2 linked regions of the Neodiprion lecontei genome follow. The protein of the gene in region 2 purifies or fractionates together with the protein of the main gene of each other region. This does not show direct contact. Links are inferred from orthologs where the notes say so. Each region holds a gene or a part of one and is shown on either strand. Other genes may lie near its edges.

Evidence for each region. Proteins that work in one complex are often made in the same cells at the same time.
Region 1: the proteins of ubiquitin carboxyl-terminal hydrolase 22 (region 2) and transcriptional adapter 1 purify together in Homo sapiens (affinity purification with mass spectrometry; 4 studies listed by BioGRID and IntAct, with this or other methods). This does not show direct contact. The link is inferred for Neodiprion lecontei from reciprocal best matches to the Homo sapiens genes USP22 and TADA1.

Annotation. Positions count from the first base shown.
Region 1 is NC_060262.1:34,394,466-34,403,016, forward strand, and holds transcriptional adapter 1, read right to left. Parts: upstream 5,070-8,551; 5' UTR 4,922-5,069; coding exon 4,851-4,921; intron 4,607-4,850; coding exon 4,570-4,606; intron 4,481-4,569; coding exon 4,247-4,480; intron 3,743-4,246; coding exon 3,539-3,742; intron 3,383-3,538; coding exon 3,234-3,382; intron 2,969-3,233; coding exon 2,806-2,968; intron 2,536-2,805; coding exon 2,404-2,535; 3' UTR 2,292-2,403; downstream 1-2,291. Other genes in the region: AP-3 complex subunit mu-1, read left to right, coding at 80-114, 197-381, 520-754, 833-992, 1,093-1,206, 1,279-1,458, 1,634-1,792, 1,887-1,937 and 1 more; mediator of RNA polymerase II transcription subunit 18, read left to right, coding at 5,358-5,563, 5,809-6,259. UniProt on the Homo sapiens protein: Probably involved in transcriptional regulation.
Region 2 is NC_060261.1:8,569,043-8,580,315, reverse strand, and holds ubiquitin carboxyl-terminal hydrolase 22, read right to left. Parts: upstream 7,531-11,273; 5' UTR 6,642-7,530; coding exon 6,522-6,641; intron 4,295-6,521; coding exon 4,162-4,294; intron 3,427-4,161; coding exon 3,211-3,426; intron 3,143-3,210; coding exon 2,728-3,142; intron 2,531-2,727; coding exon 1,967-2,530; intron 1,863-1,966; coding exon 1,805-1,862; 3' UTR 236-1,804; downstream 1-235. UniProt on the Homo sapiens protein: Deubiquitinase that plays a role in several cellular processes including transcriptional regulation, cell cycle progression or innate immunity.

The sequences.
Region 1 (8,551 bases), on a different chromosome or scaffold from region 2:
GTCACTTACCTGTCAACATATTAAAGTTTCCTCAGAATAACTCCGAGTTGAGTTATTCTTCTCAGCCATCAAGGAGAAAATGATTCACAGTTTATTTATAATAAATTCATCAGGGTAAGTTTGTTTCTATATAACAAGTTAGTTCATAAACCTGAGAAATAACCGTGACATAGCCTAAAAATTTGTCACCTTTCAGAGATGTATTTATGGAAAAACATTGGAAAAGTGCGGTCGCGCGATCCCTGTGTGATTATTTTTTTGACCAACAACGTAGAGTTTCTTCACCTGAAGACACGCCACCAGTTATTGCAACACCGCATCATTATTTGATCAGCATATATCGCTGCAATATGTTTTTTGTCGCTGTGTGTATGACGGAAGGTACGCTGTTGCTAAATGCTTCATAGTATTATATCTTTGCTAATTTTAATGTGATCTCATCATTTTTGTTACATTGGTTAATTACAGTTATAATTCTCACGCTGCTGGTAAATATTACATACTTATCGACTGTTTCAGTTCCGCCACTGTTTGTTATCGAGTTTTTACACAGAGTAGTAGACACGTTTGAAGACTACTTCAGTGAATGTACAGAAACAATAATAAAAGAGAATTATGTTGTTGTTTATGAATTGTTGGACGAAATGTTAGACAATGGTTTTCCATTGGCGACAGAATCAAATATCCTCAAAGAACTGATTAAACCACCCAATATTTTAAGAACGATAGCTAATACCGTAACAGGGAAGTCTAAGTAAGTAAAATAACATTACTACTACTGCTATGAGTACAGTAATACTGACAGTCGCTTACCATATTGTACAATTTTCAGTGTGAGTGCAATCTTGCCAAGTGGCCAATTGTCAAATGTACCCTGGCGAAGAACGGGTGTTAAATACACAAATAATGAAGCTTACTTCGATGTTGTTGAGGAAGTTGATGCTATAATTGACAAAACTGGGGCAACAGTTTTTGCAGAAATCCAAGGCTATGTATGAATCGTAAAGTTATATTTTGTAAAAGAAATTCTCATAAACCAGAAATGGAAGCTCTTAATGAATCATATGATAACAAGGCAATATTAATTTTCAGATTGATTGCTGTATTAAATTGAGTGGCATGCCTGATCTCACACTTTCATTCATGAATCCAAGATTATTTGATGATGTCAGCTTCCATCCATGTGTTAGGTTCAAGCGATGGGAGGTTTGTGTCTACATTTATAACATAAATGTAAACAATATTGACTCACAGGCAGAATAACTTATACTATTTTAGTCCGAGAGAATATTGTCCTTCATTCCACCAGATGGTAACTTCCGACTTCTGTCCTACCATATCGGGTCGCAAAGTATTGTGGCAATTCCTATATACGTAAGGCATAATATAAGCCTAAAGGAATCTGGTGGCGGCAGATTGGATATTACAGTTGGGCCTAAACAAACTGTTGGACGAACTGTAAGCAATTTTATGCAATCTTTTAAGCTTTGAATATGTTTGAAAAAAACTGTAAGTGACTTGCAGTTCGTAAAACTATTTTTATGCTGTGTTAATTTCATACATTATATCTGATATTTACGGATCAAGATAAGGACAAGGGTTGTGATTGATATTGCTTAATTCTCTTTTTTAGGTAGAAAATGTTAATATCGAAATTCCCATGCCAAAATCAGTATTAAATTGTAGTTTGGTACCCAATCAAGGAAAGTACTCTTTTGATCCAGTCAGTAAAGTACTTGTGTGGGATATTGGAAGAATAGATGTTGCGAAATTGCCCAATCTTCGAGGAAGTGTAAGTTGCAATAGAAAAAATTCAACAATACTAATAATACTACAAAAAACAAAATTTTGACTGACTTCATTGTTGTCATTTCTTAATTTTCAAGATCACTATTCAAAATGGGGCGACCGTCACAGAATCAAATCCTGCTATCAATGTAAGTCTCATTATCATAACAAGTTTATTTTAGCATTGTCTCAACTTCGTATACTCGTAATGACGTCTAATAAGGAATCGTTCTAAACGCTTTTACTTTTAGGTTCATTTCACAATCAACCAGCTTGCTGTGTCTGGCTTGAAAGTAAACAGGCTCGACATGTATGGTGAAAAATATAAGCCGTTCAAAGGTGTAAAATATATTACAAAAGCTGGTAGATTTCAAATCAGAATGTGAATCCCCACCGCTATCAATTTTAATATATCAAAGGTAGAAAATATATTACTTATTACAAATTTTTGTGAGTTAATACAATTCTGGTACCATCAAAACCTCAATATTTTTGCTCCTAGATTTACCAATAATTCTTCCACTATCGAAATCTGCCATTAACTTACAAACGAAAACAACAGAACAACTTACGTTTAACAATTATTTTGCACTACTCTAAATTCTACTTCTTTTGTCACGTTCTTAAATTTTTACACAGTATTTTCCTTGCCTCCAAATCTTCCCAGGTTGGGTGCGTAGCATATGTATGTAGACGTTCCATATTAGTTGCATAAATTGTATGATTGTTGATGAGATTCTTGTGGATCTATGGTCAAATATTGTCAAGTATATGCATAATGCAACAGTGTAGTGATGCAAATATTTGGTGAAAAACATTGGAGAAATGTCCTATATTTTCACTAATTCAACGTATTTACGTAAGATTAATGATCTCATTCAAGACAGTAAACAGTTGTGAGTTTCAAAATTTATATCCTGTTATTTTTTCCAAGAATTGGTTTGTTGTTATACTCATCCGAATATTTAGGCATATTTAATTAACACACCGTAACAAATATATTCATCAAACTCATACCTTCAATGCTTTTTGAAGATTAGCCACATTAACAGGATCGGGAGTCGGTGAGGTAGTTTGTGTTGAACATGCCAATGCAAATGCATTTGCTTGTTCCGCTTCTTCGAGTGTTTGCTTCATTGCAGGTACTTGTCCTTCAGGCTCCACTATATTTGTAGCCATACTGGATAATTCATATATTATTCGTTATAGACGCACACATGAAATTTACGGAAAATCTAGCACTATCCTTTTACATACTCTATCAAATTAGAAAATAAATAGGAGGCTTTAAACTATGATTGAAATTCGAAGAAGTCAAATCGGTACAAAAAAATTTCAGAAATAAGGGAATAAGCACTAAAGTAACGATCTTATGCAAAATGTAACATTAGTCCCTACTTCCAGCCTATTCCGATTTTATTCATAAATATGAATCTATGCTGTACCTAAAATTTGACGTGTTGGTTATGTAGGATGTATTTCTGGTCCATGAACTGGGTACTGGTTCACCTATGTTATGAATAAATGATCCTTCTCGCACCGAGAAACCTTTCCGTCGAGTTATTACGGCTGTGAGTATATTTTTGAGAAATACCTGTAAGTATGAGAATTGGGTTGTTATTTTTCACTCACATCATGGGTAAAACCGACTGAAGAATAGAATAAACAATGTACTTTCCCGAATCCAGAACATTGCACAATCTGATTACTTCAGTATAGCAAAATACTCGTAGCTATAGCATATTCGTACCTGAGTAGCAGCTATAATTATTTGAGCTGTATTTTCTTCAGCTCCATCCATATTATTCTCCCATGCAGCAAGCATTAGTCTAGCTAAAACGAAGGTACGATCTGGCAGCAAAAGCTCTTGCGCGCTGGAATGATTGGCACCTATAGGTTCGTCTCCAACCAGCGACGAACTTTGGCCCAAGACTTCAACGTAGACATCTGCAGGCTGAAATATGCAGCTTTTATATTCTTAACATAAATTTTCTCAGGTTGTATTTGCTTTTTTTTCATACAAAAATATCTGCTTTCAAATATTTGACACAGCCTTATGGCCACTTTATACATATTTCCAGAGACCAATAATGAATGAATACTTCTATATGTTAGCAATAAAATATCAAATTCCTAACAGATACCCATTTAACACTATAGTGCCTGCTATCGCACATTCACTAATTTGGCAAAATGGCAATTTTTATTTATGAGTTCATGAATTTTAATCAAACATTTTGGAAGAGAGTTACAGGCTCTCTGGTATCCTAAGGTCTTGAAATCATAAGTTCATCGACAGGTAATTAATGGCAAAAATGTTTAAAACTAAATTTTTACAAAATTTTAACTGAAATATGTATAGCAGTTTTAAAAAATAATATTCTTCAACTGAATCCGAGTACTGGCACTATATGGTTAATCACGGATTTTTTAATATTATTCCAAAACAGCTTCTTACTTCAAAATTTGATTTGTCTGTTTTATATTTTCGTTTCAATCGCAGCCTTTTCTCTAGCATTTTTTCTTTATCAAGATGAGCATTTGTATGATTGTGTTTGTTAGTTCGGACTGTTGTCACAGACGCTAACCCCTGTACTTTGTTGAACAAGCAGAGTAGAAATTCATTGTGCAAATGGACTTGATCCTCAGTCATAATGTTGCGCGCCTCGCAGTCAAATTCTTCTTTAGTTGTCTGAGAAAATCAAATAAGTGTATGATTAAAAAAAAAAAAGTAGCAAAACGATTCTTGGATATCAAGACTCAGGTAAGATATTGGTGTACCTTCATCTGAAACCACAGCTTCATTTTTTCAAAGTACCTGTAACCACAATATGATAATTAAGTATGTGTACACCCAAAGTCCATTGCGATTCCAAGGAAATCAGTAAAGGGTGAATTCAAAGTGACAGATCAGAAAGGTTTTTAACCGCTGTATTAGTATAATCAGTTATTACAGTATCATACCAAGATCAGGTTGTCGCAATATTTACAAAAGGTAATTGAGCTCAAATTGTATACACACATTGCACACATAATGTTGAGTGACATAAAAACAAACTTACAGTTTTGCGTTATCACCTAGCGATGCGACAAGGCTTTTTCTTGCTACGGTCAACTCTTTCGACGATGTCATACCGCAATCGAACCGTTCGAATTTATTTTGTGACAATAAACAGACATCTATTTGCACGCGACTCTTACATTGACATTTCGACACCTAACAACATAAGCGAACTCACTAACACGATCGTATAAAGTTGTTATATTGTTCCTCTTACATCGTGACATTGTTGCGTGCAAACGAGAAAGCAATTTTGTGCAGATTTGTGAACGTTGAGTGCGTCAGATGCGCGCGCATCAAAGTTTAATAAATTTCAATCACAAGGTTGGCGACAATGATTGTTGACAATTTGTTGGGAACAGGGAAAATTGACTGTATGCAGGCTGCAGTGACTTAACCTCGCAAAGAGACCAAATACGACGATCGGACAATGACAATTTACCCCATTCTGTAGCGACAAATCCATTAACATACCGCAGTAGAAAGTATAATTAAATACTCTGCCAAAATGGCAAGTCAAATAAGTACAGCGATGGACAGCTTAAATGCTGCTGTAAAGTCGAATATAATACCAAACCAAGAATACCTTCTGCAAGGTTCGGTTATGGACAGTGCGGTGGAAGTCTTATTGCAAAGATTGAGAGGATTGTGCGATAACGTTGATAGTAGGCCGGAGACTTTTCGTGATCATGAAATGTGTTTCAGTATCAGGAGGTAAATCTCATTCTCTTTTTGCTGGTATACATTGTCGTTATTCACCCAGAGTGCTTAGTACTTCACATTGTTTGCATATTTTCTAGGTTTCAGATGCGGCTTTAAAATTGTAACTTGCCTATTGTGACAATTTATATTTCACGATAATAATATAATGAGCCATTATTTTCTTCCAGCAAAATTTAAAAATTTACTTTGTGTTTTAAAAAAGAAGAGCATTTCAAATATAAATTTTAACCTTTCAGAGGTCCTCCGCCAGAACAACCATTGTCGCTGAGGGTGAGAAGAGCCTTAGATCATCAGGATATGCCTTGGCAGCTACGTTACATCGGACAACCCGAGCTAGGTGACAAGTCTAGACCGACAATAGTGCGAAGCAGTATAGACATTGCAACAAGCAGTACAGTTGTTGAATTCCTCACAGAATTGGGATGTAGAATAGATTTTGAGTATATTGTACAGGGATACATGTTCCGAAAGGGTAGAATGAAAGTAACTGTAGCAAAAATATTTAAAATGGTTCAAGTGAAAATACCGGATAATGTAGAACCCATATCTCAAAGCTACTTGGTCGAATTGAGCGTGCTTGCTCCACGTGGACAAGATGCAATAGCTGAAGACATGAGAATATTCGCCGAACAGTTAAGACCTTTAGTTCAGCTTGAAAAAATTGATTATAAACGACTGAGTCATTAGGGGGTTTAGAATCAGTGTCCATAAATGAATCACTGATGAATAGTTCCTAATATACAATTGGGTACAATGTTGTCTTTTCAGATTTCAGTGTGCGAGAACTATATAGCAGAAATGATAATACATCGTAGTTCTCTTATTGCGAATTTTCAAGAGGAATCTTTATGCAAGTATTATTTCAATATTTCCTACTGCAATGACCCATAGAGATTTTTTATATTGTACTATTGGATATTTACATTTGAATCAGATCCATAAAATTAGAATGAATTTGTAAAGTATTGAACAAAGTCCAATAAAGATCCGACATCGATGCTACAATTAGTCATGTTATGATACAGAAACTACTAATTTTTAACTCTTCGAATGAAGTAAAGTATTTTAAAATAATGAATAAGTACTCGCAACTGAAATTGAACTCAATCTCATTTTTAAATCTCCAACACCTACCGAACTCAATAAATATGAACTCTTGTGATTATTGCAAAAGTGTGATGAGCATGATAAAAGGGATACTAGAAGATACGTGATTTCCTGATAATCTGTTATGATTGTCAAACACCTGCAGCATGTAATTTGAGGGATGGTTGAAAGTTTGTACTATGTCTATGATAAGGCAGGACTATACCAATCATTTGCTCAGGGATGTAGGACTAATGGATGCAGTATGAGATTGGCTGGGCAGCAAAATAACAATGTGAAGAGAGATAATGAGTGTAAGGGTCACTAATTGTAAGCCACATTGGATCGTACCTTTCAACCGGAATTTTAAGGATTAGGTAATGGTACTTGATATCCTTTTAATATTGACTAACCATTTCCTCCCAGTTAGGAAGGCAGAGTGAAAAAAGTACTATGAGGTAGTCTAGCAATTTGTAAATGCTGGAAGGTAAATAAAAAAATTAGTTAGTATTAAATCGTTTAGTAAATAATCCTTAATGGTTAAAGAAAAGAACCGATGCAAAATTCTCGGGCCATTTTAACTAGATTAACTGGGAATGGAGAGTCGAGAGTTGCGTTATTGAAAATGAATCCGTGGATATTGATAACTCAAATGGCTTCGCGTTGTCGATCAGGTAACGATTATGCACCCACATCAATGTTTCGAGTATCAATGTTTTTGATTGATGGGTTTTAAAGTCGATATATCGATAATCGATGGAAAATATTGGACTATCGACATCATTATGTCAGGAATAAATTGAATTTCTGTGCCAACATCTGTCGGTAACTCATCTATAGAACTTTTCTATTAAATTTCTCACTGTTAATTAGAATGTTTCAATAATTTAATTTTATCCAATGTAATTTATATTTAGTTCTCATATTTTATTTTTATTTTGAATAATAATGATAATTCAAAACTTGAAATTTCTGCGTTCATTATTCTGTCTACAATTGTATCTAAAATTTTTGAATTTTTCGCGCTTTTATTCGTCACCGATGATAACAATCGATGTTCCGATGTTTTTAAAAGAACATCGATAGTAGACTGGTAGTAGAATTAAAACAATCGACAATAGGATGTCGCTATTTTATACTAACATCGCCCATCCCTCTGAACTCGTATCGTGTATACAGCAAACTCGGACGTAAATTGTGGATCGAAAATGCGGATGAATAATGGGACGCGATCCATTTTTTCATCCGCGTTTTCGATCCACGATTTACGTCCAAGTTTGCTGTATACGCGATACGAGTTCTGGTAACTTTTTTTCGGTCCGAGAAATCGGTCCGATTTCTAGCACTGTGTAAACACGTCTTTACTGAACTATAAGGAGACAACTCCACGTAAACAAATTCCTGCCTGAAATAAACTGGCACTGGTGTTCTGTAAACACCGAAGACAGTGAAGGGAGTATAACTTTCTATGAATTACATTTCAAGATCGCCGATCGATTAGTGGATCTTGGGCATCCCTGCAACCAATCACGCATAGGTGTAAAAGGAACACTGACGACGCTTATAGTGAAATTTAGTGGGCAGATTTTGTACCAACAACTATCCAGTACTGATCTTTGAAAAAAATTATTATATATCAATGTGGCTATTACCACCGGTATGTCGCAAATATGTTTCTGCTTGCGGAACTATGCGAAAAATCTGAGAAACATCAGAAACTCGCATCTCGATTCATATTCTATATTACAAGAAGGTTAATATATAAAACTCATTCTTCATAAAGTTCAACCCCGTTTATTTCCTCAGTTACAATTACTCTGGAAGAAACGATTCTACCATTCAGCAGACCTCAGGGTCGACTTTCTAGGAATAACAATTTTACACTCAAAAGTG
Region 2 (11,273 bases):
AGTTTCGTACAATTCGGATTACTATCAAATTATAACAGGTTGTTTATTTTGGACAAAATTAGAAATATTTCTAATTCTAAAATCACCTGCAATGTATGTGTACTTTAATTCATTTTTTATCCAAGCTCATATTTCGAATAACTAGTATGCAAAAAAACTGCACAATTAAGTTTAAATACAGACGTTATTTAGTAATATTGAACCCATAATAACAATAAATTAAAAAATGTTCAAATTTAAAATTTACAATTAGCGACCAGAAATTTATTCAAATTATAATTTAATATACACAGTTGGACGTAAATCATCATCATCGTCAATCGTCGCATCGAAATACAGTCACTTCATCAAAGCTATTTTATTTGTACAAAATTCATTTGTTCTTAATTAATCACTATACGTGTATGCACAGTAGTTCCACATTGCATGAATTGAAGTTAGTCAGTTAGTTAGTTTATCAGGCATATTCCAAAGACCGCGTACTACGAATTCTATACAAGTTACTTTAACTATTCAGTAGTGATCACAATAACTCGAAAAAGTCAGCATTTAAATTTATTTTTAATTAAAGAGATCCATAGAGTAACATGATTTCATGGAGTTATAATATAGAATAGTGAGCACAGTCAATCGATCATTAATAAATGGAATTCCTTGGTAAACTTCAATAAAATGGATCAGCCACGCATATGTATAATGTTTATGTATGTAAATCGTAAGGGAGAGGGAGGGAGGGGGGGAAGGGGGGAGGGGAGGAGATACAACATTAGTCATCGATATACAAAAATTGCGATATTTTTGGCAATTTAAAAAAAATTGAGCTAATCTTAGAAAACTAATTCTTACGTAACTGGACAACAAAATCCAGCTGTAACATCGTTAGTAGGACTTTAATCGTCTTTATGTTGATAACATAATAGCAAATATACCTACTACAGCTGTGATACTTCGCTTAATATTTCATTTGTGAGTTTCGTTCGAACAATACAAATATTTATTATCCTTAGTTTGTCCATTTATCGATATAAGATCCGTAAAGCACGAGAGTATTAGGGATTACAGAGTCTGCTAATAATACTTCAACAGAAATAAACCGTAAATATACATACACAAATAGCAAAACTTTTCCTGTAATCATTCCACTTCCGTCTGTGAAGCGGATATCAGTCAGTTCTTAACTCGGTGGATCGGAGTCGACGACACATTAACGAATTCTACGGAATCCGCGGATTGACAGTAGTAGATTAAGTAGGCTCGAGTAATCATTTGACAAATGGAAGATGATTGAATAAATATTGAAATATACGTACAGTGAATTGGCGTTCTGCAAATCCTACAATTAATCCACTTAGTTTCCATTAAAACTACAGCGATATACTTTTACGTTAGCTATCGGTAGTCATAAATTATGATTACGATATATTTTAAGAAAGTTTTTGCAGCCAATCACTTTGTCCCTAATAATATGTCATGAAGGTAAAAGTTGTAATTAAGTAGTTGTAAAACTAAACAGTTATTATAAATTATTATGATTATTGTGATTTAAATTATTTATACTCCTAATTTTTTTTACATTAAAACTGATGCAAGTATATTTTGAGAAATAAATACGCAATATATTTTAAAGTAATCGTTCAACCGCTCGCATAATCATAAGAAGGTTCGAAAAAAAAAATGCTGAAATATCAAGTTAGAATATGTAGAATCCAACCTATATACGACGTGTAATAAACCTAATCAACTTAAAATCTATCGCCTGACTTATCGTTGTCAAGATAAATAATTTAATTACATGATTTGGGTTTTATACTTTACTGTTTTTTCCATACTCGAGGATCTGCTTGTGATAAAAAAGGAGGTACCTGCAATATTTTATTTTAATGAATAAAAAAATTAATTATTACACAAACATGCGTTCGAAATTTTATTTTTACTCAAATTCAACAAGGAGTCTTAATCTACTTACCCTTCGCTAGTTAACACGTCCTTCAATTTTGCCCTAGTTATTAGATGATCGTCACATTTGAACCACTGATCTCTCTGCTGTCTAATAAACGCTGTGTAATGACCAGTTTCCAACGATCCCTCGTGGTTGATAACAGCGAAGAGCGAATACCTGTTATCACCGAAGGCAGTGTCTTCGCCATTTTTCGGAAAGCTATCTATCGTGGTGTTGTTATTACCATTTCTTTTATGAGACATAAAAGGAGTCATGTCCAACTGTTCAGGGAAGGCTATAAAGGTCGATATCTTTTTATCCTGAATGCTAGAATGTTCGAATCTCTTCAAGTGAAAGCTGGCAACAATGGGTAGCTGTTTCATAGTTAATTGTTTTGTGCTTTCCTGGTAAGTTTGGCAATTACTACATTTTATCTTCGCACTTGATCCCAAGTGTTCGGCACGTGTAAAACGTTCTAGGCAGTCTAATAACGAGGTAGGTGGACCGGAACTGTCAGGCCCCGATGCTCCAGCAGTGGGGCCCAAGTCCAGGGAGATGTCCCAAAAAGGATCAATCGTAGTCGATACTCCACTGAAAAGTTAATTATTATCAGTTCACTTATGCGATCGGCCATTTTTTTCGAGTGCCGGTAAAGCCCTTTACATCAACGTCAGCTTCGCTATTGACCTAGGATAATTGATTCTTGACTAAAGTATATTGGATCGGTTGACGTGGAAAGCTTGTTACCCTAATCGGATTTGTAATATCAACCTAAAACCCTTCCTTACTTGCACGCTTGGCAGACAACATCACTTTGCAATCCTCCGGTAAATATTTGATCTATAATACAATTACAATGATGAGGGTTGTCTTTGACCAAAATAGGGGCAGCCTCGCAGTGCCTGTGGAGTACATCTAGCGTTGCAATAAAGAATTCATGTGCATCTTGCTGTTCATAGCCAGCTAAATGCCTGGCGTGTGTCCAAATTAGATGAAGCAGTTTATGAAGTGTCAAGGGAGCCTTGTTGCCGGAATAAAATTCTTGGAAAAGGTGCGATACTTCACAAACAAGACAACGGCTTGGCTGGGGACAATGATGTCGATCAGCTAGAAAATAGTCCCGAAGAAGAGGCGTATGTATCAACGCCTGCACTATGCAGTTCATGAAACAAGTACTACCGAGGTTTATCAGACCTCTCAGACCTGAAAAATTGTTTCTACATATATTAAACAGTCAGGAGTGTGGGAATCGACTCTCAATATTTCCTTACCTATAGTGGAATTTTCCACGATACGTCGACGTCGTGGATTTTTTCTCAACAAGTCCGCCTCAACTTGCGTCGGTTCCCAGGCTCTATAAAACTCTCCCAAACTAAGTGACCTCGCCGACTGGCTCCACTGTGACTTTGCAACCGCTGTTAATTCCCTGTCGTACACGTAGTCCCCACATTGGAAGCATAATATGTTGCCGTAGCATAGATCAACGGCTGTAATTTCAAATTCAATTTCTTTGTATATCGTCAAGTAAGATTATCAATTTCACTTATATTTAAATATGCTATAAAAGAGTACATCACTGATATTTTCAAATCAAAACCTGTTCAGATGTTGGAATTTTGCAATACAGTAAAAACAAGTAAATTACAATGTTTCAGTAAGACAAATATATATTCAACGTCTGTTTAGTTCTAGAAAAGTTTGTTACTTAATGCTAGACAGTAAATAGTTATAATAGTTTATTCGTCCTCCGGCTATAAATAGGTCCCTACCTATTTTAATACCAGCAACAGCCCTTGAAATTAGAGCAAAGTTAAAATTGTGTGATTTATAAGATAAACAATATGGAGTCAGTATGAAAAAATATCCTAAATTATGCTCAAAATATACCTATTTCTATAAATAAATACTATAGACTGGGTATATATGTCCCTTCTACGTGCTTCGAGTAAAACCTGCCAATATCCTATTAATATTACAGGCATGTGTATCTAATTTTCTGTCATCATCTTGGGTATTTGTTACATAATTATTGTTCTATTCTTATCAAATTTTTTATTTTTCTATTTTATTTTTAAAACTGATTGCGTCGAAATTTGATTTTTATTTTTTATCAATGTGAGAAAGAGGTACTATATCATTTATGGCGGACGAGATGTGGAATAGACTTGATATTTTCTAAATGATTTAGATGAAAACCTGGTTCATGTGACAGACAATATTACCTAGAAAATGTTTTTTGGTCTTGGCATGTTCTTGTATGTGTCCTTTCGAATAACAGCCAAAAAAAATGCAGTGCAAACACGAGTGAAGGCGATCCTTGTAAGTTTTACAGGTGTGACACAAGCAGCTCACTGCCTGTAAAGAAAAGGAGAAAAAGAATAATAATGACAACCAACGGACTATATCGCTGCTTATAATTTGCTGCTTACACTTAATTACTGTCAAAATTATGACTACGTTGCAGATCCTTAAAAATTAAATATTTCTTTAATAGGATACTTGAACTGATTAATAATTGGTATGATCCGCTTCACTTTTAATTTTAGTGCGGGTTCAAAGAATATTATGCAAATAAGAGTTTCTTTTTTTTTTTTATTAGTAAAAGGATAGTGAAATTAAGATACAAGAATAATTATAATAAATGAAAGAAATGCATTTATTTAACCAGAGATAAATGGAACATAGCCTGAGTTCTAACAACAAACAGATGAATCAATTATATTATCTAATAGTACACCGTAAATGATTATCTTATTTTTATTTTAATGACTAAACAACTAAATGTCTCACAATCAGCTCACAAATTTCCTTTCTATTATCTTACACTGACTCATATTGCCCGCATATGATTATATTTTTTCTTTTTGATATGATACATTATCGACAATGCACAGTCATTTGCTCTCCTCAATTAACTGAACATTAATATGAGTAGCTTGCACATGTAATGAAATTATGAACATCATAATCAAAGAAGATTTGTTTTAGATTTGTACTGTTTTTTATGAATAAAATCTTAATTTATAGCTGATCACGTGTGGCATAATTTTGTTAACAATACTGTGCCATGATCATCTTGGAACATATAAATTGATCTCAATTTAAAAATTGAACTCAATCTTTCTGCGGTTTAATTAATTTCTTTAATAAAGATTAATTGATATGCATTTAGTTATACGTTGATTAACATTATTGATTTTCGACCAATAGATGACAAAAAAAATGAAATAAAAAATTCCATCCATGAGATATCATTGTTGCAACATGTATATCGAGTTAAACTTCTGCTTTGTACACAGTCATAAATGTGGTATATGTGACCCATGCATGCACACCATTTTTTGAATACAAGGAACACATATTTCACAAATATGAAGAGCAAGTATAGACGGCGTTATTATAGCGTGTAAACATAATTTCGTGTCGGGCAAAGGAATATAATGTCCACACCTGTTCGACGAGTGGAAAAATTCGACAGAAAACGAGAAGAAGCGAAAGGGGAGGGGGGTGACATACAGGACGAGAAAAAAAGATTCGCCGTCTATTACGACTGACGAGCAAAATGATTGCTAAAACAATATAGTCATAGGTATATCAGATAAAAGGTATGATTATAATAAATTGAAAATGGTAAGCGCTGAAGCGACTGCAGGTCGATCGAGAAATTGAGAATATGCAAATTAACGAAAAAGAGAAAGAAAATAGAATGAAAGATCAAGGAGTGGAAAATTCGGGAAATATCGGGACACGAGTAGGAAATTTGCATTAAATCTTTAAGAGTCCGTGATTTCTGATAGGAATTATGATAATCACTCGTTTCTTTCTGTAATACACAACGATAGGAAGAGAAGCGAGTAACCTCACTTCTAGTATTTCTTATACCTTGACCGCAGTGTTAAAAGAATGACATCGCGAATACTCTGACACTGAGCAAAATCCGTGGATCTGGTATTTACACGTCATAGTACGCGATGAGTGTATAATATATTGTACGTTTTTAGTAATAACGAGTAAAAAGAAAACGAAGGAATCATCGTTATTCTCAGCATGACCAAGTCTCGACGTATATATGTATTTTTCAATTATCATCAGTTTGGATTGAATAAAGAAAATGATTTTTTTATCGGGGGTTTTAGTCGGATGCGAGTAGCGGGAGAGAGACAGGCGCGTGTCGGTAAAGTACGAATTCACACTCGTAGCTATCTACCATGCTGGAAATGTGAATGAACAAGAGTGTGTGGCATAAGTTTGAATGTCGGGTGAAGTTAGGTGACCGAGGAGTAGCTGTGGCTGTGACACCGGACGATCGCAGTCCGCGACAAAACACTATCGCGATCGAGCGTGTTTTGTTTTCTGTCGTATCTGAGAGGTGGAGCAAAACATAGTTGATTCAAATTGCCGTGACAGACTGATAGTACAATATTTACCTTTAGACGTACACACATAAGTATATTCGGGATGGTGGAATATATTATTTGTAAACATAGATAGGGGGAGGGGGGGGGGGGGGGGGGGAAGGGAGGTATTCCACACTATTATCAGTATCTCTAAAGGTTTGGAGATGTGTAAAAAGATGTCGCACCTTCCTTACGCGTGCCTCGGTCGAAGTGCTGGTCACGAAATAGGAGTGTATTACTTTGTACGGCTGTATCCCCTTGGCTGCTTTGAAATTATTCAAGTGTATGCAGCCATGATCGCTCATCTCAATATTGCGGGGGCTTGCTCGTTGTTACGACGGTTTCCCGAGGCGGTAGTAACGTTACCGATGTATCCTCAAAAACCACTAAAATATCAGAAACAAACCGACGAATTCGAGTCTGTAACCACGGGGCGTAGCACGCTCGCCAGTTCGACAGCGTGCGTGGCGTTGACATGGAAAGTCTCGGTGAGCCGTGATGTATCCAGCTCAATTGTCGTTAATAAAACAGTGGAAGCGTTTCGATAACAATATACTATCGTCAGATATCTATGAAATATCTATTTTTCGTCCACGTTTTCGACACCCGAGAGGCAACGGACGCCAGCCGGTTACTGCAGCACCGGTACTCGTCGCCATCGCTCCCTCCATCTCCGTCTCTCTCTTTTACTCATCGTCTCTCTCCGTCGCTATACCGAAGCCATCCTCTTTCTCTTTCTCTCTCTTTCCCCTCCAACCAGCGCCAGCCGACGACAGTAGCGTAACATGCGGGCTCTCCAAAACTACTCGCCATCGTATTACGTGTTCCAATTTCGCTAGCCTTTACTTCTCATTCTCGCGATTTTTCAACTAAAATTCAGAATTTTCTGCAATTCCTCGATCGCATCCGCGATTTCAACAGTTTTACGAAAACTTTTCCACAAATCAAATCCCTAATTATTATATCTTTGACAGAGAACTGGTATATGTATGAACATGAACAATGGGATAGTTGAGAAGGTGCGAGTTACTAAAAACTCGCAATAGAAATTATCAACGACCACACAGCGTGTAGTACAATAATTCACATAACTGCAAATGCAATTCGCTGTTGGTCGGCGACAAAGTGAAGTGCAAATCATGCCTACGCACAGATCGTACGATTGGTCGATAAGCATAAGCTTATAAAGACATGTACACGTGTTAGTTTTTTTCATTCCCAGCCTGCGTCTCTCTGTATCCCACTTTTTATACCCAGCCAACGTTTTTTTTTTCATCTCGTTTTTGAGGGTAAAATTTTTTCTACGGAGCAACCGTATCCGGTCACATCTGCGGGGACGTGAAAAGGGGCTCACGGATACCCCAATCAAATTTCTCGTGGGTTGTCCCTGATCTGTCCTTCCACCTCCCGGGTACCTGCTGTGGTTTTTCGTAACAGCTGCGCACGATATGCATTCACGTCCTTTCAAAGCCGCTTCGCAGGACATTGCGGTAAATGCCCGTCCCTGTGAACTGAGAGAAGAGTCGACTGACCACTACGTTCTGAAATGCCCGAAAAGGAAGAATTGTGGAAAGAAAAATGTCCATCATCGCCAGCCTCTGAGTAAATTCAGGGCCTCCTAATTCGTCGGTCGTGGGATTGTCGTAATTAAGAGATCCTCCGCCACTCTTCAACGGTCTAGACGCTCGGACTGTTCCCTGGCGGTTTTTTCATGAATTTATTGGCGCTCGTCGCGGTTTTTAGGTATATAATCTCGCAGGATAATGAGTTGACTTACCGACGGTAAACTGCTACCAGCAAATGCTATCGGCGCGACCGATAATCTAGAAAATGTTTATAACATACACGATATTTCAGAACGCTGGATTATATAAACTATTGACAGGCGGGATTATCCAAGTTTAGTCGTGACTCACAACTGTTTTGAAACAGGCTAAAGAATACGAATTTTTCTCATCCCAGGAGTTTGTTTTTTAACCAAGCGGTTGACGCTGAAGATGGGAAAAAAAATTTCTCCTACTTCAGAACGCAAGCAAAGTCATGTCGAGTCAAAATCGATCGCATCATAGCCTTGAATGACGCTACAGCCACGAATGCAATTTCACCGCATTATACATTCTGCACACGTATAATAAATCCGCAAGTACATAATATTCCAATTAGGAATAGCCTATTGAGGATTGAGTTGAGTTAGAAAAGCTTTTAACGGCCATAGAAACCACGTTATGAAGCAACTAAACCTTTTGTGTTTAAGAATAATGACTAATTCTACAACAAAGACTCGAGCATAAAGTTCAAATTTAAATGTTTCAGGTAATTGAACTACCTATAGTAAAATCGTATGCTTCTTGACCATCTTATTTTCACTGTCATACGAGAAATTTATTATCATTCGAAAGGATGGGTATCCAACAGTTCCATTTATTTCTAAAATCGTTTGTCAGAAATTTTAATCCGACGGTTGTAAAAGTTGTGTTTTCGAAATTGAAAGAAACAGCTGGGGTGCAAAATATGCGTGTATCTTCTATATTCGATTGTTTATTCGTATTATAGCATACGTATAATTACGTATAGTTTGCGTAATCGTGAACAGCAATTACTATTACATTTATAAGTACGAAGCGTATACGAAATTATAAATTAAATTGTGATCACGATCATAATCGAATTTTTATAGGATTATCTTAACTCTTGTATCTTTGACTTCACGTTTCTTATCATATAATAAATAGACATATATTAATATTTTTATAATCTGTAACTTTTATGCATAAAAATATATTAACTCTGCTTTCCCAATAAATAAATATACTATATATAATATTACGATAAGACTGATGTCAAATTTTTCTGGAATTCAAACAAAATACCCTTGCTTTTATTATTAAGAATAATTTCAATCTCAATGATCAAAGCGTTGATGCTAATTGCAAGTGATAAACATCGTGCGTTGCATACGCCTTTACGTAAACATTTACGGAATGAATATGGCCAATGAAGAAGATCAGTGTCGTATTACACGTAGACACCTTACAGAGCTTCGAGGACTGGAGCGAGTGAAATCACCAAGGACAAACCACGAGAAATAATACATTTTAATTAAAACACGAAACTCCATATATCAAATGATAAATCTCGAACCTGAATACTGAGCAATACTGAAGTTGAAAAAAAATTAATCAAAGTTAATTGTTACCAGCATAATTATAATATCTACATTGAAAGAGTCCAAAAACGACTATCGATTTTCAGATACAACGGATCATCAGCGACTCTGGATAATTATTATTACCCTCTGCATGTGCGCATCACTAAAATTGCATACCTGATTGATTGATTCGGTACTTCCGTTGCTTCCATTATTTCTTGGTAGGTATCAAACGCTCAGATTATCCACGTGTCCGACAATCTTTACTGCAGTATTTCCGATAAATCGCCCGTCCATTTGCTTAAGTAAAACGTTGTCACTTTACGCCTTTATATAGGTATATTTACCCAGGGCTGGAATTTATATATATATTATAATACGCACAAGTGTATACGTATGTACACACACACATTTACGCGGTCATGAGTCAAGTAATACGTGTATCGCATAGCTTATTTGCAGTTGTAAAACTGCGCACGAAGATTTTGCAATTCATTCAAGAGCACTCTCACGCCTGGGAATATGTTACGCCCGTACGAGCAGTGCGAATAATAGAAATTGAAATATAAGAGTAACTATTAAACTATTTCCCAGGGCCCCGCCAGCCTACTAATTATTTATACGCAACTTTTCAAACTCGGTTAAATTATACGGTACAAAAATATACTCTGCAATAATTTCCGGGACAATAAATTGAGGGTAAAAAAAAAGGTGCGCTTCATACAATGTCATCGGGTTTCCGATCTGTCTGCCCTTTTTGCGTGAGGCGTGACCCGAATCGGCAAGTTTGTCCAGGGTGTGGCCATCAAAGTAAATTTAGCTATGTTTTTTTTTTTTCTCTTCTTTTTCTTTTCATATTTCGCACGAGTCTTCTGCACGAAGCGCGAAGACTTAATGAAGTTCGGACCTGCCCGTTGTAAATTAGAGCATAAGGATGAATTGGTGGAGAGGTAAATATGTGACCATTGATGTTACACGATAGTCCAACCTTGACCTACAGATTCAATGATAACATTGATATTGAAGTCACTCGTTGCATGACCGTAAAAACTAATTGAACGATGTTTTTCGCGTGTTAAATATAAACCGCATAATTATATTCTATGTATGTACGAGTATATACACTATAATACATACATGCAACCCCAGATACAACCTTGTAGCTGGCCATGAAAGATCATAATGTTTATCCTTTTTTTCACATTTATATTTATATACGTATTGACGTTGCCTTTTTTCTGCCTCATTAGTCCGACTTGATAAAAGCATTAAGAGTTTTCTAAGTATGAATTCTCGTAACTATAAGCATATATGTTTTTACTCGTCACTCATCACGTATATTTGCGATATTTTGCGCGGGCAAAGGCTGCTGGAGCCTTGGAAGGATACAATTAAGGTGATTAGCGCGTATGTGTTCGGCTCTGTTTTTCCCTTTTTTCTTGTCACGTAGTTATATGGAATAAAAGTCATGTTCCCATCATGATTAAGTACGTGTTTGATATTGTGAATTTTGGCAATGTCATCGTTTTACCGGGCAACCGTCCAAATCGGTTGGAAACTAACAAATTTTTCTTTAAATTTCAAATCATTTCTCTTTCAGAGGATAAACTTTTTCGTTTACAATGCTTGGGCTTTTTTAGTTTCTGCACTTGTAGTTGAATAAAAAATCTGAAAAAATTAAGGCTACTGTTTCAGAGTTGGGACAATTGTAGAAAATTTTTTTAACAAAATCATAAATGGTTAGGATCAGACTTTAGTGGTATAGTGGTGGGTGTAGGATAACGGATCA